4 linked regions of the Rhinolophus ferrumequinum genome follow. The protein of the gene in region 4 interacts with the protein of the main gene of each other region in a biochemical or structural test. Links are inferred from orthologs where the notes say so. Each region holds a gene or a part of one and is shown on either strand. Other genes may lie near its edges.

Region 1 (7,162 bases), on a different chromosome or scaffold from region 4:
CAGGTCCTCTGCCCATTTTTTAAATGGATTGTTTTTTGTTGTAGAGTTGTATGAATTCCTTATATATTTTGGATATTAGCCCCTTATCAGAGGCAATGCTTGCAAAAAATCTTCTCCCATTCGGTTGGTTGTCTCTTTATTTTGTTGATGGTTTCTTTAGTTGTACAGAAGCTTTTTAGTTTGATATAGTCCCATTCACTTATTTTAGCTTTTACTTCCCTTGCCTTTGAAGTCAAATTCATAAAATCCAAAAATATACAGTGAAAAAAAGACAGCCTCTTCAATAAATGGTCCTGGGAGAATTGGAAAGCCACGTGCAAAAGAATGAAACTAGACTGATATCTGTCACAATGTACCAAAATTAACTCAAAATGGGTCAAAGACCTAAACAGAATTCTTGTTCATGTCCAAATGAAAATGTTGAAGACAGAGAAAGCCTGGTTTCACATGGCTCCTTCTTAAAAGCAAGAGAGAACATTTCCCCGAAGCCTTCAGCACACCTCTCATAGGCCAGAATTGGGCCATGATAATTCCCAAATCAGTCACTAGTTGGGAAGTGGGAGGTGGTGGTAGAGAAGGTAGTTACCCTTAAAGTAATAGTTCTACCCCTTCCCACGGAGATCAATTTGCCGAGTATATGCTTCGATTCTGTAGGGAGGAGACAATGTTTGGGAGTCGATCACCTTATCCACCCCAAGAACTAAGCGTAACTGTATGAAACGGTATAGCTGGTTAGGGAAATGGTGAGTAGTTCAGTCCAGTCCTTCTGTGCCATAAATTGACTTGAGCATAAATCACTTTGGAAATTCAAATATTAGAGCTCTTCTCAAGCCCGAGACTTTGGGTCTTTACAATCTAGTCCTTACACATATGAAAATAAAATTGATTTTTAAAAACTAAACAATGAAGAATGGAAGGTGATGGGTTATGTGGCAGAGATAACGTATGCTTCAAATTTCACAGAAAGAAGAAGCAATGCAACATAAAGCCACTGGAGAACATCTCGTGAAGGAGAGAGAGCTGGAGCTGGTGTTCGATTGAAGGATAAGAAAAATCTGTTGGTAACTTTTCTCTGGCTCTGACCATGGAGGCAGCTGAACTAAAACAACCATGAACCATGATGTAGGGAAAATAGTCAGAGGGAATGAATTTATGATGTCTTCATTTTAGAGATGCTGTGATTTGGGTCTATTCTAGAATACAGAGAGTTTTGGTTGCTGCTCATTTCTATGAAATTTTCCACTGCTGAACATTTCCAACATGTTTTAAAATCCTTACATAAAATCACAGCCCACCTTGCTGTTCTTTGCTAGATAAACAAAATTTTTTCTCAATTATCTTGCTCTCCTTAATTGCAATTTTTAAAGTAGCTGTTACTGGCAGTCCTTTCCTTCTATTTACTGGCAATGTTCTTAGGTCAATCCCATATCCAATTAGGGAAACTTGGAAAAAGGAAATCCTACAGTGAAATGCCATATGCCTTACAATTTTATGTTAAATAAGTAATCCTCAAAGACGGCAACTTGGCAAGGAGAGAAGTGGATCCTCTCCCTGGAAGTCCCATCACTTGGGTCTGTATCAGATTATTGGCCTGAAGTCCCAGCACTTGTAGGTTAAGGATATATAGTAGGTTAAGGATACATACACACAAGAGGGATGATAGCCCCTGTATTAAAAGTATAGGTTTTCTTTCCTGTTTTCCCATTCCTCCTTCTCTCAAAGCTTCCCAGAGGTATTTAGGTTTCTTGGGAATATTTTCAGCACACATTGACCAGCAGCAATGTTGGTCAGACACCCACACAGCTGCCCAGACACCCTGTAAACTGTGATCCTTCTATTCCAACACAACAACTAGAGTCCTGTGACTTGGGGAAGGCCTTTGTATTTGAGATAAATAACTCCCGTACCTCTGTCAGCTTTCTCTGACAAGATGGCTCTTCCTGCCACCATACAGGTCACCTTCCTATTTGTAAAGCATGTAGAAGGTTAAAATTCTTCTCGTTGTGTTGAAAGAAGCTAAGTTCCAAGAAAACCCCAGATGCATTCCTATAGTCCCTTAATCAATGAAGCATCTAGCCAGGAGGGGCATTCCAGTGAGCTTCTACTCCATCCCTGTGGCTAAGCCTACGGGAGATGATCTTTTTCTAAAAGGAGAGATGTACCCTGCTTTTGTGGACCTCGAGCCCTCAGCTGACCTGTATAAAATTAGCACGTGTGCCAAAGGAGCAGGGGGCCATCGGCTAGCCATTCCTCGGAAAGCTGTTCCTAAGTACCTAGTCTCATGAAGAATTAGTAGCAAGTGACCAAGAAAAAAAAATCACTTTTCAAGGAGCGAACAGAATGCTAGCAAGAGAAGGAAGGGGAGGGACGTGTATGGCTGCTGACTCTGGAATCTTCAGATCTGTTTGGATGAATCATTACTTATGACTTCCACGACAGGAATCTGATATGACTAATCATCTGATAGAGACTTTTATTTCTGTCTCTCAACATGTGAAATCTATCTGACTGTCAGGTTTAGTTATTACTTAAGCAACAAACAAACATGTGTCTTAGGAACATACTTGTCATCTTCTAAAGCCACTTGATGTATATTGAGTAACTGGAAAAAACTCACTCCACAATCCACACACACATGCACCTTGTCACACAACACTCCCATACAAGAAAAGTGAAATTGCTGTTTGATGAATGTAAATTCGTGGGTGTTTCCAGCAATTAGGAGTCCTGCCAGGTGTGAGTGCTAGGAAGGGAGGTGAACCCCAGGGCTTTCCCCAGCCTGTGGCTGAGATCCTTACTAGGTGAAGCTACTACCTGCCCCCGTGTCTCAGGGCCAGCCCGATAGTGCTGGGACCACAGCGTGGAAGGGTGGCTGCTGACATCCCAGCCCGAAGAGATGAATGGAATTCCAGGCAGCTGGAGTCATGCTGGCTTGGGACAGTGGCTTGGAGACCAGACTGCCAATGACAGAAGTTTTAAGTGGCAGCATTCATGGCAATTGGTGCACCCACAGAAATGTAACCCACGCCTCGCTTTCAGGAGCCGAAAAATGAAAAGAACGTTTAGGGAGCGTAAAAAGGAAATAAAATAATAGGCAGAGGGTAATTTATTATTTTATGGGTCTGTTCTGTAAATAGTTTAAAACCTGGAGCCAGATGGTTCTGCAAATTATCCAACCAGGAGTCACGTTAAGAAGCACGAGTGGGCACAAAAACTGTTTTTCAAGACACAATTTCAGTTTTGGCTTCAGGGAACTGGATGCGAGTTTCTTTAATATCCCTGACTAGAAAGCTGTCCTCTCCGTCCCCTTGATCACAATACGCATACCTCCCCCAAGCGGTAAACTGTGGAAGCGCTGTAGCAATCGGGAGGAGAGACGTTCGCGGGGACTTGGGCGACAGGAGAAAGTGTGCCCCGACCGGCAGCGGGAACGCGAGCTCTAATCACTGCCCTGCGGGCCGGCATGACACCACACTCACCTCCCCGAGTGGGTCAGGCGGAGGGCAGAAGCGAGACGGCTCGAAGCCGGGCGCGTGGTCCTCCACCCCACCCGGATGGATGGATGAGGGTCAACAAGCACACAAGAAGGAACTTCTTTAAAGATTGGTTCTCTCTTGGTCACATTTATCCTATCGGGCTTTTTTTTTTTTTTACTAACGGGCTCGGTCTCCCAGTGTGCACCCCTCAGCCATCGCCCTGGCGTTCAAGGAGACGAGTTTGTCTGATAGCCCCCTAAGGGTCTTGGATGGGTGGCTGAAGCCCCGTCGCTGCTCGGGATGCTTACCCTGAACCCATTGGCGGCGTGGCGCAAGAGCCAAAGTGCTGAGCCCGCGTGCGCCAAGGCCGCGTGGGCGGGCACCAGGTTTTCTGAGAAGTTCCAGGGCCCTCGGGCCCCGACCCCTGCCTCCCCCTTCACTTTCTAGCTGGAAAGTTGTGCGCCTAGCGGCGGGGGGCGGAGAGAGGAACCCAGACTGGCCCCCCTCCCGCTTCCTGCCCGGCCGCCTCCCATTGGCCAGAGGAAGGCCCAGGAATGTGAGCGCCCCTTTAAAGGCGCGCGGCTCCTCCGCCTCGCCAGCCACTGCAGCTGAGCCGGCGGGCCCATCCGGAACTCCTGCGAGCTCTCCCTACCCGGCCTCCGACTCCGGCCGAAGCCCCCCCAGGCGCACCGCGCTCTCCAGGACTCGGCGCCGGACGCTTGCACCCTCGCCGCCACTCCGGGCCGCTGCGCCCGTGTGCACACAGGTAAGGAGTCTCCGGGCTGCCGCCTAGGAGCAACGCTGCCCTGGCCATCCACCTGATGCTCCGAGGATCCAGCCCCTCCGGGGCTCCGGAGAGCAAACTCTCCCCCTTTGCCTTCCCCATCCTGTCCCTCCCAGCCGCTGGGGGATTCTTCTCGTGGTAGGGCTCCAGAGCCATCCTCTCCAGCCTTGGGGTTCACAAACCACTTGTCAGGATATCCCAAGTCCCTCTCTAGAGAAAAGTCTACAATACCCTCCCGGCGCCCCCAAACTACATCTCCTGGTCCTGCTGCTTACTCTCCACCTCCCTAGGACAAGACCCCAGATGTCTGGTTTTTCCCCCTCCCCATTTTAGAATCACAGTCTCCTGCTCTCAAATCTCCTTTTCTTCCTGATGCCCTCTCCAAAGTCAATTCTGTTGTCCCTCATTCCAGCAAATGCGGGGCCATAGAGAGATCCCCAGGTACCTGGCCCTATGCCCATCCCCCAGTTACTGCCCACCCTCCCTGCTTTGCTGTCTCTTACCCTGGGCTCTGCTTCCTCCTGCAGGCTCCCTGCTGGGCACAAACAGTTCCACCATGGGGCTGGCCTGGGGACTCTGTGTCCTGTTCCTGTTGCATGTGTGTGGCTCTAGCCGCATTCCAGGTGAGTCTGTATAATACCTTTGAGGCGGGAAGGAAGAGGTGGTGGTGCTGGTTACCCCAGGTGTGCTTTCCTCCCAGCTCTCCTTTCCCAGCTGTTTCTCCCTGAGCCCCAACTGAACACCAGGAGGCAGGTTCCCTCTGACTATGGTGTTTATTCAGCTTTCAGTGGTTGCCAGGAGTTTTCACCCTGACCTCTGGCCCCACCCCTCAGAGCTGAGGCACCCCCACCCCCACCCCGGGTCCCATTCTAGAAAGCTCACAGTGTGTATTGCTCCTAACAGAGTCTGGGGGAGACAACAGCGTGTTCGACATCTTTGAACTCACGGGGGCTGCCCGCAAGGGGTCTGGGCGCCGACTGGTGAAGGGCCCCGACCCTTCCAGCCCAGCTTTCCGCATCGAGGACGCCAACCTGATTCCCCCCGTCCCTGACGACAAGTTTCAAGACCTCGTGGATGCTGTGCGGGCAGAGAAAGGTTTCCTTCTCCTGGCCTCCCTAAGGCAAATGAAGAAGACTCGGGGCACACTGCTGGCAGTGGAGCGGAAAGACCACTCTGGCCAGGTCTTCAGCGTGGTCTCCAACGGCAAGGCGGGCACCCTGGACCTGAGTCTGACTGTGCAAGGGAAGCAGCATGTGGTGTCAGTGGAAGAAGCACTCCTGGCCACCGGCCAGTGGAAGAGCATCACCCTGTTTGTGCAGGAGGACAGGGCCCAGCTGTACATCGACTGTGAGAAGATGGAGAATGCTGAGCTAGACGTCCCCATCCAAAGCATCTTCACCAGGGACCTCGGCAGCATCGCCAGACTCCGTATCGCAAAAGGGGGTGTCAATGACAATTTCCAGGTGAGGCCTCTTCTCCGATTCGTGGTCTGTGTGGGTCACCTGCTAGCCAGCTGACCTGTCAGGAGGGCTCTAGCAGGAGAAGCAGAGGTTCCCGTACAGGAAATACTGCCTGTGGACTACAGCAGTGGTTGTCAAACTTTAGGGAGCACCAATATCACCTAGAAGGCTCGTAAAACTCATACTGCTGCACCCCACCCAGTTTCAGATTCAGTAGGTCTGGGGTGGGCCTGATCGTTTGCATTTCTAACATGTTCCAGGTGAGGCTGATGCTGGTGGGGGGTGTTTTGGGGAACCACACTTTGAAAACCACTAAAGGAAACAAATGGTTTTTCTATAGCAGCCTGTTCCAGCTTTAGATACTCCTTATACTTTTCTCAAGAGAATAACTTATTTCAAATGCATTCAGCCAATTGTAATATTGCTTGAAATGGATACTTTGTTCTAGCAGAATAAATACCACTCTGCTATTTGATCCCTCATGGGGATGTAGCTGGTCTCAAATAAAAGGTTAAAATAGTGGTGATTTGCTGCTGCAGCTTCTTCCTCGCTTAAACTTCTAGATCTTTGCAACGGGGGCTTTGAAACTCCCACATTTAATTCTTTGACACTAGAGAGTGTCATTATATCCTCTGGCCTTCGTTTCCATTTCCTGTGTACCCAAGTAGGCTGATAACTGAATTCTTTGTAAAATACTGAAGACTTGGCAGAAGATACAATTAAGATTTTGAAGTTGTCTGGCAATTTATGTTGGTGTGTTACTTTGACATGGTGATCTTAAAAGGGAGCTCTTTCAAACTTTTAGAACATCTATTGTGTGCTCTTCCTTGCATAAACAGTCTCTCCCACCCACGTAGCTCTCCCAGCACTCCACGGGTAACGTGTCCTCTGCCCACAGGGGGTGCTGCAGAACGTGAGGTTTGTCTTTGGAACCACACCAGAAGACATCCTCAGGAACAAAGGCTGCTCCAGCTGTGAGTACCCTTCTGTTTTTTAGGGCCTATCGGGAAATTAGGGGAATTCCACCCAAAACAAGCTGAGACATTTAAGCAGTGTTGGTTGTATATAAATTACCCTGGGTAGCAGTTCAGAGGTATTTAAACGTGACCTTAAAGGCTATTCCACACACATGTCCCTTTTACCTGCTGCCTACCTCACCCCAAATGAAATGTCTTTTACAACGAGGAACTCAGGCTGGCCGATGAGAGCATCTTCCATTACTTTTCTCATTGTGATTATTTGCTTTGTGGCAGCTACCAATGTCCTTCTCACCCTTGACAACAATGTGGTGAATGGCTCCAGCCCCGCCATCCGCACCAACTACATTGGCCATAAGACGAAGGATCTGCAGGCCATCTGCGGCATCTCCTGTGACGAGCTGTCCAGCATGGTCCTGGAGCTCAGGGGTCTGCGCACCATTGTGACGACGCTTCAGGACAGCA
Region 2 (7,881 bases), on a different chromosome or scaffold from region 4:
TAGAAAGATACACAAGAAAGGGAACTAGTTGCTTCTGGAGAGAGATTAGAGCATTGGAAGTCTGCAGTTAGAGAAAGACTTATGTTTGCACACAATTTTGTACTGCTTGAAATTTTGTCTTTTGTGGTTTTATTTTGGTCAAGAGTATATTATAGCTTTTATAACGACAAATTCAATTAAAAGGAAGAAGAGAAGTATATAAGGCCAACAGAAAGCTTCAGTCAAATGAAGTTGTCCTCCATTTCCCTAACTGGATAGATTTGGTCCAAGTAGACTAGATCATGGCAAGGAGGGTGTGTGTGTGTGTGTGTGTGTGTGTGTGTGTGGTGTGTCTTCAAGTTTCATAATTACTAAATCTAGTGAAAATTTAAAATAAAATAATATCCTGCTTTCTCTCCCACTTAGCACTGGATCATCTTTTACTCAGGGTTATTAATTCACCTAACAACTATTGACTGAGAACCACCTAACTTCTCAGTCTGATGCTGTGGGAAGTACCACAGAGGTGAGAAGAGCAATACCTTCCTTCATTGTTATAAATAATTTAACAAAAGAAACAAGAAAAGTTCCAATAACAATACAAGAGCTTAATGATTACTCAAGTCAATTGTTTCAAACCCCTTAAAATACTTTTTTTTTTTTTTTGATATGTTACAGTGTCCCTAGGAAGACAGCAGGGGGCACTTCAAACATGTCTGTGCTGAGAGTCAGGTCCACTCCTGTCAGTCTAGGGCTTTGATGATTTGTCTGAAGTTATCTCAGAACATAAAGCCCTCCGCAAAAAACATTCATGGTCTTGCATAGTAAAGTCATTAACTAGGTCTGATAGAAAGTCTCCTTCGAGAACTTAAGTTTTTAAGTTTTTTTGGTGGGGGAAGGAGAAAAAAGCTACTTATAAATAAACATGGATTATAAATCCAGGTTATCTGTGGGACATTCTTTTTAGTTTGTATTAGCTGTCTACTAGGGAAGGCCGGAATCCTTCTCCCCCTTGGCCTGTTGTAGCTTCTCTGTGACAGCATCTGTCTCTCTGGTATGTTCTGACGTGTCCCCCTTACCATAATGCCTTGTTCCAGGACAGGCCATTGCAATACACTATTTTTTTTTTAAATTCACTTTAAAAAAATTTGTATATCTTTTATTTTTCTTCACTTTATTTAGACAAATCTTTTAATTCTGATATTAAAATATGATTTCCTTCTTTCTCTTTGTTTTTTGTTTCTTTTGTGTTTGGAAGAGGGGAGGGAATGAATATCCCCAAATCAAGAAAACCAAAATCCTTAGAATATGTCTGGATTATTTAACAACACACTTTTATTATTTGAAGCAGTTCTCTCCACACCTCACAATTCCTTCACCCCCAAAGCAAACCGGGTGAAGGAAGGAGACAGTAACAAATTGGCTAAATATAATATTTATTTGTACTTTAACTTTTCCAGAATAGGACACCCAACTTTATCAATGGAGAACTATATTCCCTCTGAGTTTAATTGTCCCTTGAACTGCTACTTGGAATTTTTTCAATTTAGCTTTGTTGGGTAAAGAATCAAAGAGGCCTGCAAGATCAATAGCTCCACTTAACTACCCAGTAGGGCAGCTCCTACAGCTATGACCTCATGCTTATCCCCACCCTGTCACATCCCATCTCCATCCGGACACAGCTGGCGCTCCTCCTTGTTTACAGTTTAAGGCCAGGATATAAGTGGGTAGCAGTGGAAAAGTCTATGGGAATTTTTAGTAAACATCTTGGTTTTGTTTTTTTCTTATTAAAAGTCAAAATATTTTAAAAACCTTTTTATATTTATGATTTTGTATTTGTAAATTTCATTTGTACCAGTAATGCTCTTTTCCTACATTAAACATAATTTTTGCGATAGACACCAGATACATTTCAGTACTGATGCTCTTTTAGAGCCCAGGCATTTCATCATAGCTCTGCATGTACAAAACACATCTGCTTCCCAGGCTTTTCCGGTTTGCAATTACAGCAACATTCTAACATAACACATCAAATACATTTTCCTCCTTTTCTGGGATCACTAAAGAAAAAAAACACTGTATGAATTGTGGTTAGTGTTATTTAATCTTCCTTGAATTTTATCTTCCCTCATCTGTACAATGGGAATATTATTAAGCTCACCGTGTTTTTGTAATGATTACATACAGAAAGGATTGAAAAGTGCCCAGTGTGTGCAAATAGCAAGCCCTCAATCTAAATAATAGATAGATACTTAGATAGATGATAGAGGACAGATAGATGATAGAAAGAGATGATAGATAGGAAGGAGGAGAAACAGAGAGAGAGAGAGAGTTTCCCTACATGTGGAGTTCTGGAGTTTCTGGCAGTCTCTTTAGGTATACACAATTAACTTTCTACTTACGTCATTTTAAACTCATACGAGGAGAAGACGTCCAGTCATGAGTACTGGTTTGCTGAACATCTATAAAAAGCTTAGCCTCTTTTAAACTGAAACTTTTTAAGTCTGTTACAAAGGAAATGTCAATTACAGAAACCGTCATACCTCACGGTGTGGGTGATCAAATAACCTTGCTGAAGCTTGGATGAGGCGCCTCGCTAACGCACATGCAGTCTGGACTTGGAGGTCATGTGAGCCTCTGCACGAGAACGCAGGCATCTGATCGCTCCGAGAAAAGCCAATCAGGAGAGCGCGCTGCCGCCACACCCACCGGCCCACCACCTGCCCTCGCATTGGAGCCAATCCATCTGCTTTTTCCAACAGGCTGAGCTGCTGTGAGTTAATTCTTCCTGGAAATCTCTGCAATTCGAATGCACATGCAGTGTAACACTAGAGGCCATGCCAAAACCGGTTTCATGTGTATATTTCATATTCATATATATGAAGAATTACTCTAACTCTTGATTGCTTTGAATTTGTTATCTGTTAACTTGAGAAATCATTTTAAACATATAGCAGACTTCCCTCAGGCAATCTTCTTGCAGTTCTCTGAAAGGCACAGAAGTGCTGATGGTTTGGTTGTCTTAGCAAATGATTTAAAAAAAAATTAATGTGTGAAAATAGACTGCATGAGTATTTTATTTAAGATAGTAGGCATTTTGCACTTTTGTTTATATGTCATTTAAACCTTGACCACACACAATTGTACTCACCTCGTGTCATTTTTTAAAATTAGACTTTACTATATAATTTTTGGAGGACTGTCACATCATAGTTACTCATCACCTGCATGGTCTGTTTTGCCACTTCTAAAGTTCTTTTGAGGGGATTAATTCTTGGCAGGTTTCAAAATTCCTCCACATGCTCTGTGAGATGAATGTGCACAACATATTGTTCAATAATTGCAAGACAATAATACAGGACAATATATTGTGTTGTGCCATTTAATGCATCAACTTAAAAATAGAATTCTATTCTATAGAATAACACACTTTGAATTATATGGGTATTATCAGGTGTATTTCATTTTTGAGAAAAACTTTAAATGTGAGCCTCGTTTAAATCATATGGACTTTCATCCTTCTAACATACAAATGAAGATTGTGTGTGTGTGTGTGTGACAGAGAGAGAGAGAGAAAGAGAGAGAGAGACAGAGAGAGAGAGAGAGAGAGAGAGAGAGAGAGAGAGAGAGAGAGATGGAGGGAGGGATGAGTAAAAGGAAGCAATAAAGATGTTCAGAGAAATAATCCAATATGGACAGTGAATTGAAGGTTTTTATTTTTGAATCTATTTCTCAGATATAAAGTGAAGAGTATAGAGTTAAACTGTCCTTTCTGACTAATGCAAATCCTTTATACTTAAAAAGACATTTGAGAGTATTCTGAGCATTTTGGCAAAAATACAAAACAAAACAAAACAAAAACAACAAAACAACAAAAAAACAATTTCCCACGTGATTTCATTATTCTTATTATTTTTACTTACATACCTTAATGCATCTGTGTTAATAGCTTTATTAAGATATAATTTACACACCATAAAGTTCACTCACTTAAAATGTACAAGTTAATGTTTTTTTAGTATGTTTACCCAGTGGTACAACCATTGCCATAACGTAATTTAAAACATTTTCATCACCATTCCCCCAAACTTCTCCATTCTCCACCCCCAACCTCATTCTCCAGCTCCAGGCAACCACCAATCTACTTTCTGTCTATAAGATTTGCCTATTTGTGGATATTTTATATAAATGGAATTAAATCGTACAATACGTGTCTTTTGTGACTGGCTTCTTTCACTTTGCATAACAATACAGTTTTAAATTATTTGACCTCAATATTCTGCCTCTGAGAATAAAATGTTATACTTGCATTCTTTGATGGGTTTGAGTATAATTTGCACGAGGCAAAACTTAGTAATCAGAGCAAGAAGGCTTTTCTCCACCACATCAGCTAATCCATTTTGCCAATGTTAACATACCAGATTGTTCAAGCGCAAGCTGCAGAAAACCGTGTGTTTGTGGATCCCTAAATTGATATTGTCCGGGAGAATTTTGGGGAAAAAACCCTGCAAGTTACAAACAGGGTCCATCAAAAGAGGAGTGGGTTTAAGCATCCCAAATGTAGTTTAACAGCTTTACTTGTCCTCCGTGGAAAACTGGTGGTTGCGGAGTATTTAATATAAATCCACATAAACCTGTGTTTGGTGCTTGTACAGGGGGCCCTGGAGAGCCAGACCCCTTAGGAAAAGCAAGTAGGAAACACAGTGAAAGCAAAATTTCTCTCTGCCCTTTCCCCCTCTTCTCGCTGGCAGGGTTGATCCTCACTACAGTTTGCTCAAATATTTGGAAGTGAATTTAGGGCCCTCCCCCCAACTTATGATTTTATAGCCAATAGGTGATGAGGTTTATTTGCATATTTCCAGTCACATAAGTAGCCGTGGAGTGGAAACAGTGTCAGACTCGATTCCTTCTCCTCCGAGGAAACCTGCCACTTCTAGCTGCCCTGCCCTCCCTTTTAAAGGGCGACTTGCTGGGCGCCGGACCGCGGCTCCAGCCTACTCCTGCCTCGGGCTCCGAGGTCCATCAATCTGTCCGCGCTTCTTCCCGTGACCTGTAGCTCCTACAGAGAGGGACGCGCTTCGAGATGGGGAGCAAAGCGCTGCTCCTGGTGGCTCTGGGCGTGTGCCTCCAGAGTCTGACTGCCTCCCGCGGAGGGCTGGCCGCCGCCGACAGTAAGTTTTGCGTGCACACTCCGCTCCTCCTGTAAACTCGGCTCAGTGGCCACTTCCACGCATGGTGAGGATTCGAACGAGAAAGTCTGAAGCGGGTGCAGATGCGCTCCGGAGACTCTTCCAGCCCGAGTGCGGCTCCGGAAAGTCATCGGGGCGGGATCCGCTGAGAGAGGGGAGGGAATTGTCCCTCCGATCTCGCTGGGGCAGCTCCTAGTTCCCGCTCTCTCGCTCTCTCCGGGTTCCCGCGCTGTCCCCTCCGCTCTGGCGGAGGCCGTTCCCTGGCGCCCGGGCTCGGCCGGGAAGGGACGGGGGGAGTGTGAGGGGCGGGACGAGGGAGGCGGGAGGAAGGGCCCAGATGGCGGTGACCGACTGGAATGAAAGGCACGCAGGCCAAGGTGACCCTGGCGTGGCAGCAGCTGCGGCTCGGGCCCCGCCTGTGGGAGCGCGGGCAGAAAGTGGCCCCTTCTCCGGGAGAAGCAGGAATCGGGCGGGAGGAAGGGTTGCCCGCATCCTAGAGGCACAGGATACCCTCACCCTCCGCGTGCAGATGGGAGTGGGGGACGCGCGACGCGTGGAGCGGAGGTCTGGGGACGCGGCATCCTGCACGCGTTCCGGCGCCGGAAGTTCCCCACCTTCCACTCTTGCACGCTCCGCTCTTCTTAGCGCGCAGAAAATCTAGCGAAGGGGTGACCCTCTTGAAAACGTGGCCGCTGATCTAGGGGTTGCACGGTTTGCACTTGGCTATCCATACCGTCCTGTGAGCCGAGTCCCGTTCGGGGCATCGCCGGGAGGCTGCGGCTGAACTCGTCATCGCCGGGGAGTCGGGGGCGTTGGAAGCCAGATGCAAATTTCTTTAATCGCGGTGTGAGGTGCGGGGCAGGCAGACAGGTGGAGGGGGATGGTGGTGGGAGAACCAGCCCCCTGTCCGAGACCTGCCCACAATAGAGACAGCCTGCTTAACTTGAGCCTTGGTTCAGCTAATATACAACGGCAACTTTATAAAAAGGCAACTGAAACAAGTCATGAAAGGAGGCAGCATTTTCTTTTCTCTTTCCTTCGTGGAATTGCAGCGAGGGCGGTGTCGCTTGGATGCGCCTTCAGGCGGCAAGTTCGCAGTGGTTCAAATTATAGTCGAGTTTGTCCGTGACTTTTACTGTAGCTGAAAGTTTACCGCAGTACCGAGTTGTGGGAAAGAACATTTTTGTTAGGTTAAAAAAAATGTGGATTCCATGAAAGCTGAATTGGATAATAAAGACGAGTATCTTTTCTGTCAGATCGGTTTCTGTCAGGGCTTCAATTAGAAAGTCTTAAACTTCTTATGTGGAGGCATGTTCCCCTTGGATAGTATTTAACGCTGTCCAAGAAGATGGTAGGAACAAACTCCAGATTCTTATTTTTAAAAGTGCACTATAGTGTAGTAAAACACGCACAAATATGTGCCAACCACAGTTTAAGTTTTTGCTAGGCTCCCTTAGAGGTTCAGGACCTTAAATTCCTGGGCTAGTCAGTGTCACCTTTCCGAGTTTGGCTTCCTCAACTCTAAAATGAAGAGTTTGGACCAGACTCAGAGTTCTCATAGGCCCCTCTAAGTCTTACTTTTTGATTTAAATGGACACTTACGTGATTCATGAATTAAATTGGATTTTAACAAACACATGCTTTTCCCGACTGTAAATGTATTAAAGGAGGAATCATTTTTTAAGTAGACTTGAAATTAATCCCTTGTCTTTCCCTCCTACGCTCACTCCACACAACCCCTCTTTATAGTGTGCATCTCCCGTCACAGCAACTTTCGGCTTCTTTTCTCCTCCAAATAAGTTTATTTAAGATGTAAGAATTTCATAGCCGAAAGCTACAGGTGTAAGGGCCCCTCCTGTGGGCTCTGACTTTACTTATTCTCAGTTCATTGTAAGAAGAATATGAGGATAGGAGGCAATGCCCTCAGGTTCCTTGTTCTTGGAGCCACCACAATCTCTGTGTGGCCTTATCAGGAAACTGGAAGAACTAGGAGATGGAATGTATGGGTCAGTACTCAGTAGTTGCGGTTCTATTTGACTGGACTTAGTGAATTTCCAGACTAACATCTGAATTAAACATGATGGATTATGACAGCAAAATAGCAGATACTACTTGCAATGGAGCAGAGCTCGGTGAGGGAGTGATTGATAGACAGCTGTATTGGAAGAGTTACGTGGAAAACTTTCACTTTCTTTCAGGCAGTGTATTTTTAGCTCAGTCCTCCTTTCTTGCTTTATTCTGGGAGGAAAAATTGGGCTATACAGTTTACTGCTTCTATTTTTACAAACATTTTTTTTCCCCTACAAAAATGAAGAGCAAATCTGCTTGTTAGGTAAGTCAGGAACATTGTCTGCATTGGAATACCTGAAAAGACCAATCGGTTCGTCAGATAACAATACTGATTTTTTTCCCCCTCCCCAAACTGTTTTGTTTTCATCTATTCGACTTGTTTCTTGGCATTCTACAGAAGCTGTTTGAGTCAATAACTGTGCCCATCCATCTCAGAGAGGATGTGAGTTAGGATAGAGTCCTTTAGGAGTTGTGTGTGTGTGTGTGTGTGTGTGAGAGAGAGAGAGAGAGAGAGAGAGAGAGAGAGAGAGAGAGAATAGAAACTTCAAAGAGAATTGCATTACAATTGAGCTCTTATACCTCATGTCTTATAAATGTCAATCTTATACATCTGATAACTGAGCTGCCTTAAGAGTGTCTTTTC
Region 3 (7,123 bases), on a different chromosome or scaffold from region 4:
ATCTGCCACATGTATTCGTCATAAGTCTGGTTTGCAAGTGATAAAACCCAATTCAAAGTGGTGTAAGCAAAAAGGAGATGTATTGACTTATGTTACTTCAGGCAGAGGTAAATATAAGTGCTAAAGTGACGTTATCGGGCGTCTGTCTCTCTCCCTCCCTTAGCTCTGCTTCATTCTCAGGCAGGCTCATCCTTCTTGGTGGCAAGATATCCACCAGGCGTACGTTCTACCAGCACTTCTTGCCCAACAGTTGCAGGAAAATTCCTGGATCTGATTTTCACTGACCCAGATTTAGTCATGTGCCCATCTCTGAATTGATCACTTTGATCTCATCATGGGTTAGGAGCCTAACACTGAAGTGGGTTGTGGGACCCACTTCAAATGATTTCCATTTGAACCACATAGACTTAGAGTGGTGAGGGGACGTGTCTCAAAGAAAACTGAGGTGCTGTTGCCGGTAAAATGGGGAATGGATGCTGCGCAGATAACAACAGCAAACGCAACAATATGTTCATGACAGGATAATACCTATCTTGTAAGGTTTTTCTTCTTTTCCATGCAACCCTCCGTCCCTTCCTCAGCTAAACACTTTGAAAATATTGAGGTCACTAGGCATGCAGTACCTCAACCTCTTGCCTGCTCCCACTTTATTAATTACCCCATCTACACCCGTGTCCTCACGCCTATCCCTTTAGCCTGTAGAGTTAAGGTTTCCAGTTCTCCTGGTGAGCCCTTGATCCCACCTCCTCTCATTGCCTCCAGGGTCTTGCTCCATCTCTCAGATGCTTTTTTCTTTACTTTCAAATTCATCTTCTGCCCTGGTACCTTTTTGTAGTGTATGCCCATGTTCAAGTCTCTACCACCTTAAAAAGAAAAGACAAATCAGAATCTTTAGCTTCATATCACTTTTCAATTACTGTCCATTCTTTCTTCCAAATTTCTCAAGGAGGCATTCTGCACTTACTAAGTCTACTTCCTCATTTTCATTTGCTCAACTCATTGCATTATGGCTTCTGCCTCCATTTTCTGCTGATACAGATCACATCCTGGGTATCCATGGCCTCCATGTTACCAAATTCAAAGGATACTTTTTGCCTTGACCTTATTGGAAATCTTTGCTGCATTAGATGCTGCTGACCACTTCTCCCTCCTTGAAAATCTTCCCTCCCTTGGATTTATTCCATGACACTACTCTCCCCTGATTCTCCTCTTACTGTCTGTTTCTTCTCAGTTTTCTTCTTTTCCTCTGCTGGTTCCCCAAATGTTGGCATTCCCAGAGTTCAGTCCTCAGTCCTTTTCTCTTCTCACCTTATATGCTCTCCCTGGGAATGTATTAAAATAGTCCTGCCAAAGAAGGATGTTGAAGAAGTCCTTGCCAGACCCAACATCTGACTTATAAATTCCACTCCATACATTATGTGGGAAGATTTTACTCCTTATACATTTTCCAAATGATAACAAACACCCAGAAGAAAGAGGGTTTATTGGATCAACTACAAGAAAAATTACAATACCAAAGCAATACTTACATGTAGTGGTAGAAAAAGCTACCTTTGCTCCACTTCGTGACTTTGCTCCTAATACAGATGAAAGCTCTATTCTTCCATATAGGTGACTTGGGTGCCAACTTCCTGGTAATGCATAAAGCCAGTGCTCTTGATTAAATGACTCTGAATGGATTTGCTTCTAATTCAAGTTTTTCTTGATAAGTCCAAGGGAATAATATTAAAAGATTCCTGCCTCAGAGGGATCTACATTGGTTAGAACAACACACAGCATCTGAGGTGGTTCATAAGCTATTGTTTACTCCTAGGCCATGGAGAGCCTCAGAAGGGGGAAGAGAAACAAGTAGAGAAAGGATGGATGAAGGGCACAGGTTGACACCCATTGATCAGGAGGCGTTGCAGATCTCCCCCATTGAGGAGATCAGGGATTCAGGAAGACGGTGTGTGGGTCAAACTGCACTGTGTGTGAACTGCACATTTTCCTTTTGCATCTTAGCTAATTAGTCTACTCTTTCACACCCTGACCATCCTATCTGTGTTCCTCTGGTTACCTGAAGAGATTTCCCTGGATATTGCAGCCATCCTGCCCAATGGGGTTGGGAAGACAAGTATACTGATAATATTTCTGGCTTTTTATTTGCTCAAGCAGAAATTTGGAAGGCATCCTTTCCTTCATACTTTCATAGCCAATCAGTCAATTGATCACTGATTTCTATCTCCTGAATATTTACTAAACCCATATAATTGTTTCCATCCTCGTCCCACCACTATAGTCATCTCCCACCTAGACTATATCAATTGCTTCCTAACTGGTCCCTGCACTGCCAATTTTGCTCTCTTCCCATCTATTCCCCACTTAGCAGCCAGAAGTGATCTTCTAAAATGCAAGGGACAACATGCCACTCCCTTGCCTCAAACCCTTTGATGATTTTCCATTGCCCTTAAACTAAACTTTAAAACCCTCAGCGTAACATACAAGGCCCTTCTTGATTTGGAACCTACCCACATTTCCAGCTCCACTTATGCCATGCCTCTCCGCTATCACCCATACTGGCCTTCTCGTACTTCTCCTTTGACTTGGAATGATTTTCTCTTCCATGGCTGACCTCTATTGCCTTCACCCCATTCCCCTCACATAAGTGCCACTTCCTTCTTAAAGCCTCCCCAAATCTCCCCAGGCAAAATTTAGTCCACTTACCTAGCATCCTGCACATCTCATTCAAGATACTCATCACATTTCTAATCACGTTTAATGTGTCTTTCCCCTGTTACTTAAACTTCAAGAGGGCAGGAACTGAATCTTGTTTCTTCATGTGTGCTTAGCACCAAGGACAGTGTCTCACACATAATAATTATTAGTCAAAAGAGAATGAATAAGTGAATGAGGACACCTTTCTTCTCCTGGGTAACTCTTACTCATTTTCCAAGGACCAGGATCAGATGTTATATACTCCAGTTTGGGTTACAGTCAAATCGGATTCATCTTTGGATCCCTAAACTTAGCTCGGGACCTGGTACATGGTTCATACATATATCATAGAGGTTTGTCAAATCATAATAAACTCTTGGCCAGGAGTTGATAATTGTTGAAACTGAGTCATGGGTATATGAGGGTTCATTACACTGTTCTGTCTCCTTTTGTATACAGTTGAAAATTTCCATAATAAAACATTAAAACATTTATATTCACCTTAAGTCAAGTGAAAGTATAGTCAAAGACGTTCTTGAGGCTTCTAGCTTGGGCAAGCCAGTAGATGGTGGTGTCATTCTCTGGGATGGAGGAAGTGGAGCTGCCTCTACTCTTGTGTGTGTGTGTGTGTGTGTGTGTGTGTGTGTGTACACGTGCGCGTGCATGCACATGGAGTGTGTTGGGGAGCGTTCTTTTTCACCCCAGTGAAAATTCTTAGAAGGCCAATAAAGGGGATGAAATAACGAATTTCTATTTGGGCACCTTTAAGTGTTAGAAACCTGACGGCACCTCCAGTCAGTTGCACAATAGTAGCTACCATAAATGAAAACCTCTGCCTTAAAGGAATGAGCCATGAGAGGGTTTCAGGATGGTAACAATCCCCTCATGATCCTTGGTGGCCTCTGGGCCACTGATCTGACCACTGGGAACGATGGCACTATCCAGGCAATCTGCAGTAAACACTGTGCCCCACTATTCCTTCCTTCACACTTTTCACCCATTCTCCCCTTCTTCATTACCTCTTATGTATTTCTACTGGGGAGCGATTTATTGACACCTGCAAGGCCATGGTGTCACAGCTTTATGTTCAGCAGCAGGGGTAGGGTGTCTAGAAACATCTGGTTCCAGTCTGAGTTCACCACCTTGTGACTGCAGGCAAATCTTTTTACCTTTCTGAATCTCAGCATCTGCCTCTGAAAAATGAGGATAACAATAGCGGCGATTTCACAGGGGTCAGTCTGACGCGAGGATGAATGCATGTAAAGGATTTAACACAGAGCCTGGCACAGTGTAAGCGGTCAATAAATACGAGCTATTATTATCGCCAGCGCTGTGTCCTCATCGCCTCTCCACCAGGACGCCCGGGAGTGCTGCCGCAAGAGCGGAGCAAGCTGCCTTCTCGGAGCCCTCCCTGCGCAGCTGCGGGCTGGCCCCGCCACAGCCACCCAGGCTCCTACCCGGTGGGTGCGTCGCCCCACGGGGGTGCGGGGCGGGGCCCTGCCGGCGCACAGGGCGACTCCGGGGCCTCGGGGTGGAGGGCGGTGTCGGGCTGGGTAGGGGTCGGCAGACGCGTGGGTAGCGCTGTGGGACCCGGGAACCCCGCGCTGGCGTAGCTGCTGGCGTGAGGCTTCCGCGGTGGGCTCACAGAGGCCGCAGGGTGGCATTGGGTGGGGCCCTTCGGGACACTGCGTCCAAGTGCAGCCCCGAGCGGCTCGCGCTCGCGCGCCCGCGCTCGGCCCAAGATGGCGCCCCTCCCCCCGCCCGCGCGCGCCCTCGCAGCTCGGGGCGCGGCCCCGCGGCCCGCGCGCTCCTGGGCGGGGGATGTTGTGATGGAGAAGCCGCCGCGGAGCCCGAGCCCCGCAGCCTGAGCCACCTCCGCCACCTCGGCCTGGGGCCTCCCCGCGCAGGTAGGAGCTGCCCCGGCCCGCGCCCAGCCCCGGAGGCCGGATCCCGACCCCCAGCGGCCCGCGGACTGCGCAGCCCCTTACCCGTGGGGGCCCGGGTACCCCCGGCCAGGCCCCATCTCCGCTGGCAGTCCTCGCACCGCGAGCATTCCCACCATCTCCTGTTCCCCCACCTCCATTGTAGGCTCCACCTCGGTCCTCAGCACGGTCATTCCGGACCTTTACCTCCTGCCCCTCCGGGATGAATAGGGGGCAAGTATTGGAGACGCGAAGAGAGGGGCAGTGGGGGGTGGGGGATGGGGGATGGGAGGTGAAGGGCTGGGTAGGGGACGTGGGGTGAGGTAGGCAGAGGCCGCACGTTTTCCTGCAGGGTCCCAGGCCTGGAATCTGTCAAGCCGCATTCTGTCGCTCTCAGCGACCGAAAAGTGTGCTCTGGGGCCGGCTGTGTCCCCAGCTCTGCCAGGAGGCCTAGCACTCACAGAAGCACTCATTAGGAGCAGTGTTCCCACCGCCAATTCAGAGGTTGTTCCGAAACCTATTTTGAATCTGCCTGTGCATTTCTTGCATTCCAAACCTTCCAGCATAGCCCCAACTTACACCACTCTTCAAAGACAAAACCTTGTCTACACTTACTGTCTTCATTTCCTCACTTCCCATTCATTCTTAAAACCGGTTCACTCTGTTTTCTGTCTCTCATACTCAACTGAAACTGCTCAAGCCAAGGTCACCTGAGACCTCTATGTGGCCAAGTCCAATGCACACTTTACTGTTATCCCCTTTACGTTTTCATAGTATTCAGTGGTGTGTGTCAACTCTCCTTGAAACATTTTCCTGGTTTCTCTCCTGGCATTGTCTGCTCCTTCTCAATCTTATTTGATACCTTTTTCCTTTTCCTTTAGATGTCAGTGAAGCTCTTAGTTCTGTTCTGAGCTATCTTCTTTCATTCTGCACTTTCTCCTGGGTATTTTATTCACTCCCAAGGCTTCAAATTTCATCTCTCTATTTATCTATATCTATCTATATCTCTATATCTCTCTATCTCTATCTATATCTATATCTATACCTATAGGTGATCATACCTATACCTATAGGTATAGATATATACATAGATAGAGATAGAGAGATATAGACATATAGATAGGTAGAGATATAGATATAGATAGATAGATAGATATAGAGATATAGATAGATATAGATATAGATATCTGGCTCAGACTAGATTCAATATCCAACTGCCCTCACGACATCCTCTTGGAAGTCCAGCAGGAATCCAAACCTATAGATCCCAAGCTGAATTATCTTCCCTATGTTCCCTCTCTAGCCTTCTTCCAAATCTGTTCTTTCTTTAACTCTCAGAAATGGCTACTTTCTGATCAGTTACCTAAGCTGTAATCCTGGGCAACATTCTAGATTAACCTCTACTCCCTCACAGTCTACATCTAATGTTACCGAGTCCTGTCACATCCTGGTACCTAAATATTTTTCAAATGCATTCATTTTACTCCATCCCCACTGCCACCAAACTTAATCTAGGCCACAATCATTCTTTTCCCCTTGACTGGTCTAATAGCATACCCTCTTGCCTACCTCCCTATAACTACTCTCAACACAGTATGATCCTTTAAAAAATGTATCTGTTTGTTCATTTATTCATTCAACTAATATGCTTTGAGCACCTAGTATATACTAAATACTGTGTTAGGCACTGAAGATATAATTATGAACAGAATAGATTGGTTCCTTATCCCCTTGGAGTTGACAATCTGGGGGGGGCGGATTAAATAAGAATAAAATTACAAATTGTACTAAATACCATGAAGGAAATGTGGATGGTGCCCTGGGAACACAAAAGAGCACAAGCTAAACTGGTCTGGCGGGTAGGGAGAGAAAATCCAGGAAGGCTTCTCTGAGAACGTGACATTTGAACTGAGGTAAAATATGAGTAGAATTTAGTTAGGCTGAGAAAGTAGGGGAAGGAGGTTCCAGGCAGAAGGGAAATCAAATGCAAACACCGTGTGGAAAGAGACAGCATATTATCCTTGAGGAATCAAAGAAGGCCGATGAGGCTGGAGAACAGAATGCCAGAGCTGGAGAGATAGGCAGGGATAACTGAGCAGGACAACTGAGGCCATGTTACAAATTTTGGTCTTAAGGTCTTTGTTCTTGGTGTGGATTGTTGATGGTAGTGGATATGGAGAATAGATCAAATCTAGAAATATGTCTCAGAGAGAAAATTGTCAGTACCTGGAGATGGATTAAGTATAGGGAGTCAGGGAGAAGGTAGTGTCAAGGATGGTACCCCTACCTCTGGTTTGCACAACAGAATGGTTGGTCATATCATTCCACGATCCAGGATCCTGAAAGAGGACCACTTAGTGGTGAGTGAGAGAAACATGAGCGTGCATGTTTGAGAGGCCTTTGAGACATCCAAGTGGAGATGTTGAATGAAAAGTTGATATACATGTGTGGAGCGCAGATGAGGGGTCTGAAATGGAGGTGTAAATTTGGAAATCAGCATATAGATG
Region 4 (8,063 bases):
TTGTCCTTTCAGTCTTAGTTGTGGAGGGCACAGCTCAGCTCCAGGTCCAGTTGCCGTTTCTAGTTGCAGGGGACACAGCCCACCATCCTTTGCGGGAGTCGAACCGGCAACCTTGTGGTTGAGAGGACATGCTGCAACCAACAACTGAGCCATCCGGGAGGCAGCTCAGCTCAAGGTGCCTGTGTTCAATCTTAGTTGCAGGGGGCAAAGCGCACCGCAAGGGACTCGAGGAATTGAACTGGCAACCTTGTGGTTAAGAGCCCACTAGCCCATGTGGGAATCGAACCAGCAGCCTTCGGAGTTAGGAGCATGGAGCTCTAACTGCCTGAGCCACCGCCGACCCTCTGAGCCATCTTGAAGTAATTTTTGCATATAGTGTGAAGTAGAGGTCAAAGTTCACTTACTTCTCCCATATGGACAGTCAGTTGTGCCAGCACCATTTGTTGAAGACAGTCCTTTCCCCAATGGATTGCTTTGATATCTTTGACAAAATCAAATGACCTTTAAGTGTGAGTTTATTTCTAGCCCTCAGTTCTGTTCCATGAGTCTGTTTGTTGATCCTTATGCCAGTACCACACTGTCTTGATTACTGTAGTTTACAACTCTTGAAGTAGTGTAACTCTTCCAGTTTGGAGGTTTTAAATTTTAATTTTATTATTGTTGTTGTTGTTATTATTAGTAGTAGTAGTAGTATGTAGCATTGGGATTTTAAAAACTCCCTGGGTGACTCTAATGTGCAGCCCAAATTTGAATACTTTAAGAACATTCTAATGTGAGCCAAAGTTTCCAGACCCAGCTTTCTCTGTCCCTATCCTCTAAGGCAATATGATAAACCAATTAGTATACTTGATTATACCTCCTTAGAGGAATCCTCTTCCTCTCCAGCTCTCTGGCTGATGTATTAGGGACTTCCTCAATTTTTCACCTGGCTCCCCACTGCTTCTAGGAAAACAAAAATCTAAATTCTTAGTGTGGCTAAAATCACCCTTTGTATTTAGGCTCCCTGATCTTCATCCATTACCCTCCCCAATAAGTACTTTAAACTTCAGTCATATCATATCAGTTATTCCTCAAATGTTTTAAACTTCCTCATGCCTCCATGCCTCTGCCTGCCAGCCTAAAACACACTTTTCTCCTGTCATTGCTTGTCATTTCCTTCTTTTCTTTCAATATGTAGCCAGGCGTCATTTACCCTGGTCTGCTTTGACCCCCTTATCTGGAATAAGTATCCTGCCCTGGTTCCCATGGCCCTCTGTGCTTGCCTTTATCGTAGGCATTAAGGTACCGTGTTGTAATTGTCAATCATCTTGTTGTACGGCCCCACTGATCTGTATGCTTCTTGAATGCTGAGACTACGTATTTCTACCTCTTGTCCCTACTGCCTAGCAAGGTGCCTCGCACATATGAGGTACCTAATAAATGTTTATTCAGTCTATGAAAACTGGCCTCCAATCTGCATTGTGATTTGGGACAGATTCCTTAATCTCTCTGAGTCTCTATTTCCATATCTACAAAGTGAAAATAACACCTTTTCCACAAGGTAGTTATGAGACTCAAGTGAGCTAATTCATGTAAAATCCATTGCGTGGACCTGGTACATGGTAAGTGCCCAATAAATCTTGGTTCTCTTCCCACCTTTCCATCAGACCTGTCAGAGACACCCTCCCATTTACACCTCTTTAGTTGACCACTAGGTGGTGTCAGTCTCTGGCCTGCCATTCAGTCCCAGAGCTGCCCCTTAATGCCCCATTCCAGTGCCTGTTACTCTCAGACAGGAAAAGGAGATGGTTAATGATTTGCTGGGAGATCCAAAAAAAAGGAGATATCCTCTCCCACACCAACTTCTTTGCCACTGTCACCATCCTAGGTATCCTGATTATGGATTGCAGAGAAATCTTCCTTGATTTCCCACTATTCTCCATACAAGGATTTGAAGATGGAAAAAGCTTCTTAAGAATAGAAGTGGGAGAAGAAGCTGGAGACAGAGAGGGATTGCATAATGAGTTACTATAGAAGAAATATGGAGAAGATGCTTACAGTCACATCCCATTTGACAGGAATTAATTTTGATTGTCTCCTCAACCAGCACAGGTCCTCCCAGTCCTAATGCTCTTGCCAGCATCCTCACCATTAATCGAAAGCTCCTAACCCTGGGTGGATCCAAAGAAGTAAAAGACATAGACATCCCTGCCCTTAAGGAGTTTATGGTCTGGTGGTGGACATAGACCCGGCAAAATTAGGTGCTAATGTCTAGGTACTGAGGCTATCTTTTTTTTTTCTTCAAGTTTTTTATTTAGTTAAGTGTGTTTTTCCAGGACCCATCAGCTCCAAGTCAAGTAGTTGTTTTAGTCTAGTTGTGGAGGGCGCAGCTCACAGTGGCCCATGTGGGGATCAAATCGCCAACTTTGTTAAGAGCACAGTGCTCTAACCAACCTAGCTAACCGGCCGCCCACTGAGGCTATCTTGAGTGCCAGTTCGGAACAGGAGAGATGGGCAGAGCGAGAATTAACAGGAGAGCTTTTCTTAAGAGGGTAGGGAGGAGCTGGGAGAACAGTATAATTAAAGGCTCAGGTAGAAATATGCAATCTTTCACCTTATAGAGACACCCTCAGCAGTTTACATACTGGAAATAACCTAAGTGCCCAACAACCCCAAAAAATAGTGGAGATTCCAAGTAGCCAATATAAAGAGTGAGCTAGATGTGTGTGTACATTATGGAAAGGGATCAAGACAGGTTAATTGAAAAAACCAAGTTACAGAACAGTATATATTGTATGAGCTCATTTGTGGTTTTAAAGGATGTTTATATATATTTATCATTTAAAAAAAAATCTTTTGGAAGGAGAACCATGGAACTCTCAGTAGTGGTTACTGTGAGGGTGGAACTGAAGAATGGGTGTGGAGAACAGCAAGTTTACTTTTCACCCTGTACCTTCCTATACTCTGAGTTTTTTTAGCCACTAATTATTACTACTTTTTATAACACAAAGTTAATAAAAATAAAAACACATTCACATTCAGGAGCTAGTAAGGGTTGGGAGGTAGCAAGTGAGAAGTGTTGACATGCTGTCTGAGGTCAGATTTTGGATGGCCATGACTGGGAGAAGAGTTAGCATTTGATTCCGTTATCTCCAGACACCCAGTAGCGGTTCACCAGCCAGGAAGAGACTAAACAGGGAAAGCAGATTTAGGAAGATTCAACTGTGTGTAAGGTAGTTAGCAGGGAGAGAAATGAGACTCCCCCTTCATAAGTTTCATATGGTCAATCCAGCTAGCTTTTTCCTTTCAAAGCTGTCTGAAATCTGTTTCAATCTGATTTCACTTGGACCACAATATTGGGAGTCCTGAGAGAGGAAGGAACCTAGGAGGCATTCATTAACAACATTTAGAGCGTCCCTGCCATGTGCCTGTCGCTGTGTTAGCCAATGATGGTTGAAGAAAAGGATGAGTAAGTCCCACCCCTGCCTGAAGAAATTCTGCAGTGGAAAATGGAGGAAATCTGAGCTTTATTTCAAAGGAAAAAAATAACAGACCTTGAGCATAGCCTTGCAAGACTGGATATAGTTGGCAAAGAGTCTGAGGTTTCTAGCCTGGGAAACTACAGGCAGATGGCCTTGGCCCTGAGCAAAGTGAGCCCAGAGGAAGCTCTGGTTTGGGGGAAAGGTCAGGTTCCCTCTGGATTCCTCCTCACTGCCATCAATTGACAAGTCCTCCATGCTGCTCTGCTTTCTGCCAGAACTGACAGGAGTGAGGACTTGGGGCCCTTCCTTGACTAGAATTTTAAAAGGGAGAGCGTGGTGCAACCCTCTCTCATGCCTAACCGTCAATTTCTGGCAGCCAAGGTCGCCTGCTGTCTCCCTGAACTCTGACTTCAGACACCAGAAAGACAGCCAGGGTACAGCCTTAAAACGCCGCCCAGAAGGGGGCAGTGGCCAGAAGCACATTCACCGGGCTCTGGAAACAGCCTCGCCTTCTGGACTCAAAGTAGCATTCCCGTACAGGCTCAGAGCCGGGACAAAGGTCCCGCACTCATTAGACATCTCCTTAGAACTCCGGTCCAGAGTCCCTCATCTTATTCCAAATCCCTGTTTGCTCGGAATCTAAAACCTCGACTTGGTGAGAAGCCAGTCAGAAGGTATAAAAAAACAAAACACCAAAGAAAAAATAATAAATGAGCCCCTACCTCTTGGGGCGAAGTGGGGTGGCCCTTCCTCAACCCCACCCGCTGGTGACTCACCTCCCTCCAAACCAGAGACTGCCCCTCCCGCGCCCGATGCCAGGCGACCAGGGCGGGGCGGGCGCTAAGGTGGGCTCCATCTCCAAGTCCTAGGCGGGCAGACAAGCTCCGGCGTGTCCCCGCGGGTGTCCCTGTTTACTCCGAGCCCTGGAGCGAGGTGGGGGCGGGCCCTCGCGGCCCCTCCCCTACCCCGCCCCCCTTCGCCGCAGGCCCCAGTCCTCGTCCCAGTCTTACGAAGTCTCCAAATCAAAGCTCAGCCTTTCCCTGTATCTTCCCTGCAGACTGGCGGCCCCTGCCCCCACCCCAGGCAGGCGAGGCACAGTCCAGGTTCTCGGTGGAAATCAGGCCTCGGCCCAGATTTGGATCCCCAGGTCTTGGATCCCCAGACCCCGCCTGAAATCCTAGGGCATGACACCCAGTTTCAAAGAGAAGCCGCTCCGCTCTCCTTGTCCACTGCCCAATCCCCCCATGCCCCTTCAGCAATCTGCAGCCTGGGGAAGAAAGTCCCAATTAGGGGAGAGGGCGCTCTTGGCCCCAAATCAGCTAGCGACGCCCAGATCCCACCACTCCAGAACCGCTGGCCAGAGCTCCAAATCTCGTAGCTGCTCAGACAGCCCCCTCCCCAGGGCAGCGCGCCAAATCTGCGCATGCGCACTCACAGGACTGCCGCGTAGCTCTTTCCCCCCTCCCTTTTTCTTTCCCCGCCCCTTCTCTCCCTCCTTCCTCTACCCGTCCCCTCCCTCTCCCCCACCTCAGCCCGCCCCGCGGCACCTCTGTCCGGGGAACTGTGGTGCGAGCTCCAGGCCCGTGCACTGAGGAGGCGGAAACGAGGGGAGCCCCCAGAGCTCCATCAGGCCCCTTCCAAGGGCTCCCCCACCCGGTCCACGCCCCCCACCCCCCACCCCGCCTCCTCCCAATTGTGCATTTTTGCAGCCGGAGGCGGCCCGGAGATGGGGCTCTGAGCTTCGCCCAGGGAGGGGGATAGAGGAGCGAAGAGAAAAGCAGGGGTGTGAAGGGTTTGGATTTGGGGGCAAGGGGTGCAGCCCCATCAACAGACCTTCCCTAAGGGACTCCGAACTCTACCTCTTCACCCACGCCCCTGGTGCGCGTTGCGGAGGGCTAGGATAAGAATAGAGGAGGAGGGGGAAAGGAGGAAAAAGGGGGACCCCCCAATTGGGGGGGCGACGGCGAGAAGTAGCAAGACCAGAGGGGAGGGGGCTGCTGCTTGCATCAGCCCACACCATGCTGACCCCGCCGCAGCTGCTGTTACTGTCCCTGTTCTCAGCTCTGGTCTCGGCCGCTATCGATGGTGAGTGAGATTCTGCGGCCCCCTTGGACCCCTGGGGACACCCACTCCCCAGCCCCCACTCCTGCGTTCGGATGGGGAAGGGAGGCGCGGGAGGGGGTGCCTTTTGTTATCCCAGTCCAGCTGACACCGCAGCGGCCCAACTGGGGGTGGGGATGGGGGTCCAATTTGGAGGATGAGGGCCCTGGGCAAATGATGCTTCCGGGGGGGCCCCCCAGCCCAAACAAAGACCAGAGGCCTGGGAATGGAGAGGAGGGTTCCCCCTTTTTCTGATCCCGGGATCCAAAGGCCTTCTCTTCCTATCTCTGGTCGGGGAGGGCCTCCACCTCCCTTACATCCTCCCCCCCTCCACCCCCATCTGAATTGTGAAGGAATCCGGATTTGCAATGTAGGGCTCCAAAAGGGGGTGGAGGGCCTTTTGCAGTGGCCTCTAAATCTGAAAGGGAGAGCCAAGTCAGGGGTGACCCGCTAGGCAGAGGGCAGTCAGGCCCAAGAAGGCTGTGGGTAGAGAGGGAAGGCCACGGAGAGTGCCCCCTGCTTGGGTGTGGAATCGGGGCCTGGGAGACCAGGCTTTGAGGCCTGGGTCCAGGATCCAGATGGCTGCCCGCCTGGGTTCCGAAGTGGGCACTTACCCCCTCTCAGAGCCTCAGTCAGTAGCCTGGATAGGGCTGTATTGGGGAGCAGAAAAAAAGCAAGTGATGCTATGTGACTGAATTTTTCTTAATTCCTGGGAGCTGTGAAATGAAAAACGTCAGATGTCATCGCTGGGGAAGGGGACTGGAGAATAGTCTGGAATGCTGAGGTGGGAGGGTAGAGGAAGGCTGCTTTCTCCCTGACTTCTGGCTTGATCACAGTTTGGACTAGAAGGAGAGTTGGAGGTTGGGTGGGTGGGGGTTATGGCTATGCTCCCACCCCCCAATTCTCTGCTCCTTTGGTAAATGTGTATTTCTCTCCACCATTTCCCCTCCTGCCTTCATATACACATATTTTGTATACTGTAGTTAGGTTTGGGCTAGAACTCTGTCCTTTTGGGGATATGGGGTGCCCCTTCTCCCCTTTTTATGTCAGCTATTTTTTCTCTTACTTATGAGTCACTGGTTCAAGTCTTGCCCAAGCTGGGGACACAGGGTTGGGCTGGGCTGGGCCCCTGATTTGAGAAGCAGTGGGATCTCATCACTTCCCGTCATTTTAGTTCTGTCATCCGGGGGAAAATGGCCTAATACCATCATGCACCCCTCCTCCATCTTCTAAATTTTGCCAGGTTGGGATTGGGAAAGTTTTTCTCTGAAACCAGATTATCTCTCCCTCTCTTTCCCTCCTCCCAAATTGCTTCGGTTGCAGGAGGGAGGTTAGGGGTTCAAGAAGTAGCTGTGTCCAGAAAAACAGCGTATTCACTGGCCCTCAATTATGCCATCTGGGGGACTGTCTGCTCCTCCCCCCCGCCCCCTACTACCTTAATTATCTGCCCAAGAGGAGGAAAGAGGATCTGCCCTGAATATCCTCCAGACCAGCCCTCACAGCCAGCCTTTGCCCATGACTTCCTCTCTTTTGCACTTTCTTTCCTCTTGTTTTCAACCCTGTGAGGTGGGAGGGGAAATCGAGGCAGAGAGATTTGGGTATAGCAGCTCCTAGGAAGGATAGGTAAAAATATTTAAGAGAGAAAGAGAAAGAGACCACCAGGAACCCCATGTCGAAGGATGGATGGAGTTAGAAGCAAGGGGGGGTGAGTCTCTGTGGAGAGCAGCAGAAAAGTTTCCCAGCCCAATCAGGGATGAACCCAGTCACGTCACCCCCAGGATTCTAAAACAGTTCTATTTGCCACACCAAGTTGGTTGGTGGTAAATGGAAGAAGGAGACTGAACGTGTCCTCCTTAACTGTCTCTACCCTTTCTTACAAATTTCACCCAGTCCACAGCTGTAACCCCAGCTCAAACCAACTGTATCAGAAGTCCCAGGGAAAGGACCCCTCCCCAAACACACACTACTGTTCTTACCTTGGGACTGGAGATATGAATCATGGGTCTCACCAGGTTTGGGGTGAGAAAGGGGAATTGCACAGATCCGTAGGGCCAGTGCTATCCAGGTAGCCGAGGGGATTCCGTTATCTCTACCCCTGCCCTCGCACCCCAAGCCCACTGACAGAACTTCCTCCTTTCAGAGAAGAAAACCCTTGGCCCCAGTTTACCTGACTTAGTGTCTAACCTTCCTTCCTGCTGCTCTGAGGCCTGGTTGCTTTCCCTCCAGAGGAGCAGCCCTCAGGACCTGCCCCACTTCTTCTGCTTTCACTGCTATTCTTGAACCTACCCCAAGATCCCCTTCTTTTTGGGGGGCAATGTCACTTGCCGTGAGTAGACAGAATTGAGTGTGCTTGATCGCTACTGGAGAGGATGGGGAAACAGATGGAGTGTGGAATGGGAAGAGGGTTTATTGAGGACTCTGCTCAGATTAAGAACATTTTGTAGTGAGGAGGGCAGCGCCAGGCAGATGTGGCTCAGACAGAGAAGGCGGACTGCCTCCTTT

The links.
Region 1: the proteins of LRP1 (region 4) and THBS1 form a complex in vitro, tested with the Homo sapiens proteins (3 studies listed by BioGRID). The link is inferred for Rhinolophus ferrumequinum from reciprocal best matches to the Homo sapiens genes LRP1 and THBS1.
Region 2: the proteins of LRP1 (region 4) and LPL form a complex in vitro, tested with the Homo sapiens proteins (3 studies listed by BioGRID). The link is inferred for Rhinolophus ferrumequinum from reciprocal best matches to the Homo sapiens genes LRP1 and LPL.
Region 3: the proteins of LRP1 (region 4) and APBB1 form a complex in vitro, tested with the Homo sapiens proteins (2 studies listed by BioGRID and IntAct, with this or other methods). The link is inferred for Rhinolophus ferrumequinum from reciprocal best matches to the Homo sapiens genes LRP1 and APBB1.

The regions. Positions count from the first base shown.
Region 1 is NC_046289.1:65,322,322-65,329,483, reverse strand, and holds the start of THBS1 (thrombospondin-1), read left to right. Parts: upstream 1-4,072; 5' UTR 4,073-4,242; intron 4,243-4,787; 5' UTR 4,788-4,816; coding exon 4,817-4,883; intron 4,884-5,163; coding exon 5,164-5,723; intron 5,724-6,618; coding exon 6,619-6,694; intron 6,695-6,973; coding exon 6,974-7,162. UniProt on the Homo sapiens protein: Adhesive glycoprotein that mediates cell-to-cell and cell-to-matrix interactions.
Region 2 is NC_046301.1:52,062,977-52,070,857, forward strand, and holds the start of LPL (lipoprotein lipase), read left to right. Parts: upstream 1-4,773; 5' UTR 4,774-5,062; coding exon 5,063-5,150; intron 5,151-7,881. UniProt on the Homo sapiens protein: Key enzyme in triglyceride metabolism.
Region 3 is NC_046294.1:45,383,649-45,390,771, forward strand, and holds the start of APBB1 (amyloid beta precursor protein binding family B member 1), read left to right. Parts: upstream 1-4,022; 5' UTR 4,023-4,154; intron 4,155-4,449; exon of another isoform or gene 4,450-4,601; intron 4,602-4,782; exon of another isoform or gene 4,783-4,850; intron 4,851-7,123. UniProt on the Homo sapiens protein: Transcription coregulator that can have both coactivator and corepressor functions. Adapter protein that forms a transcriptionally active complex with the gamma-secretase-derived amyloid precursor protein (APP) intracellular domain.
Region 4 is NC_046293.1:56,173,596-56,181,658, forward strand, and holds the start of LRP1 (prolow-density lipoprotein receptor-related protein 1), read left to right. Parts: upstream 1-5,014; 5' UTR 5,015-5,479; coding exon 5,480-5,546; intron 5,547-8,063. UniProt on the Homo sapiens protein: Endocytic receptor involved in endocytosis and in phagocytosis of apoptotic cells. Required for early embryonic development. Involved in cellular lipid homeostasis.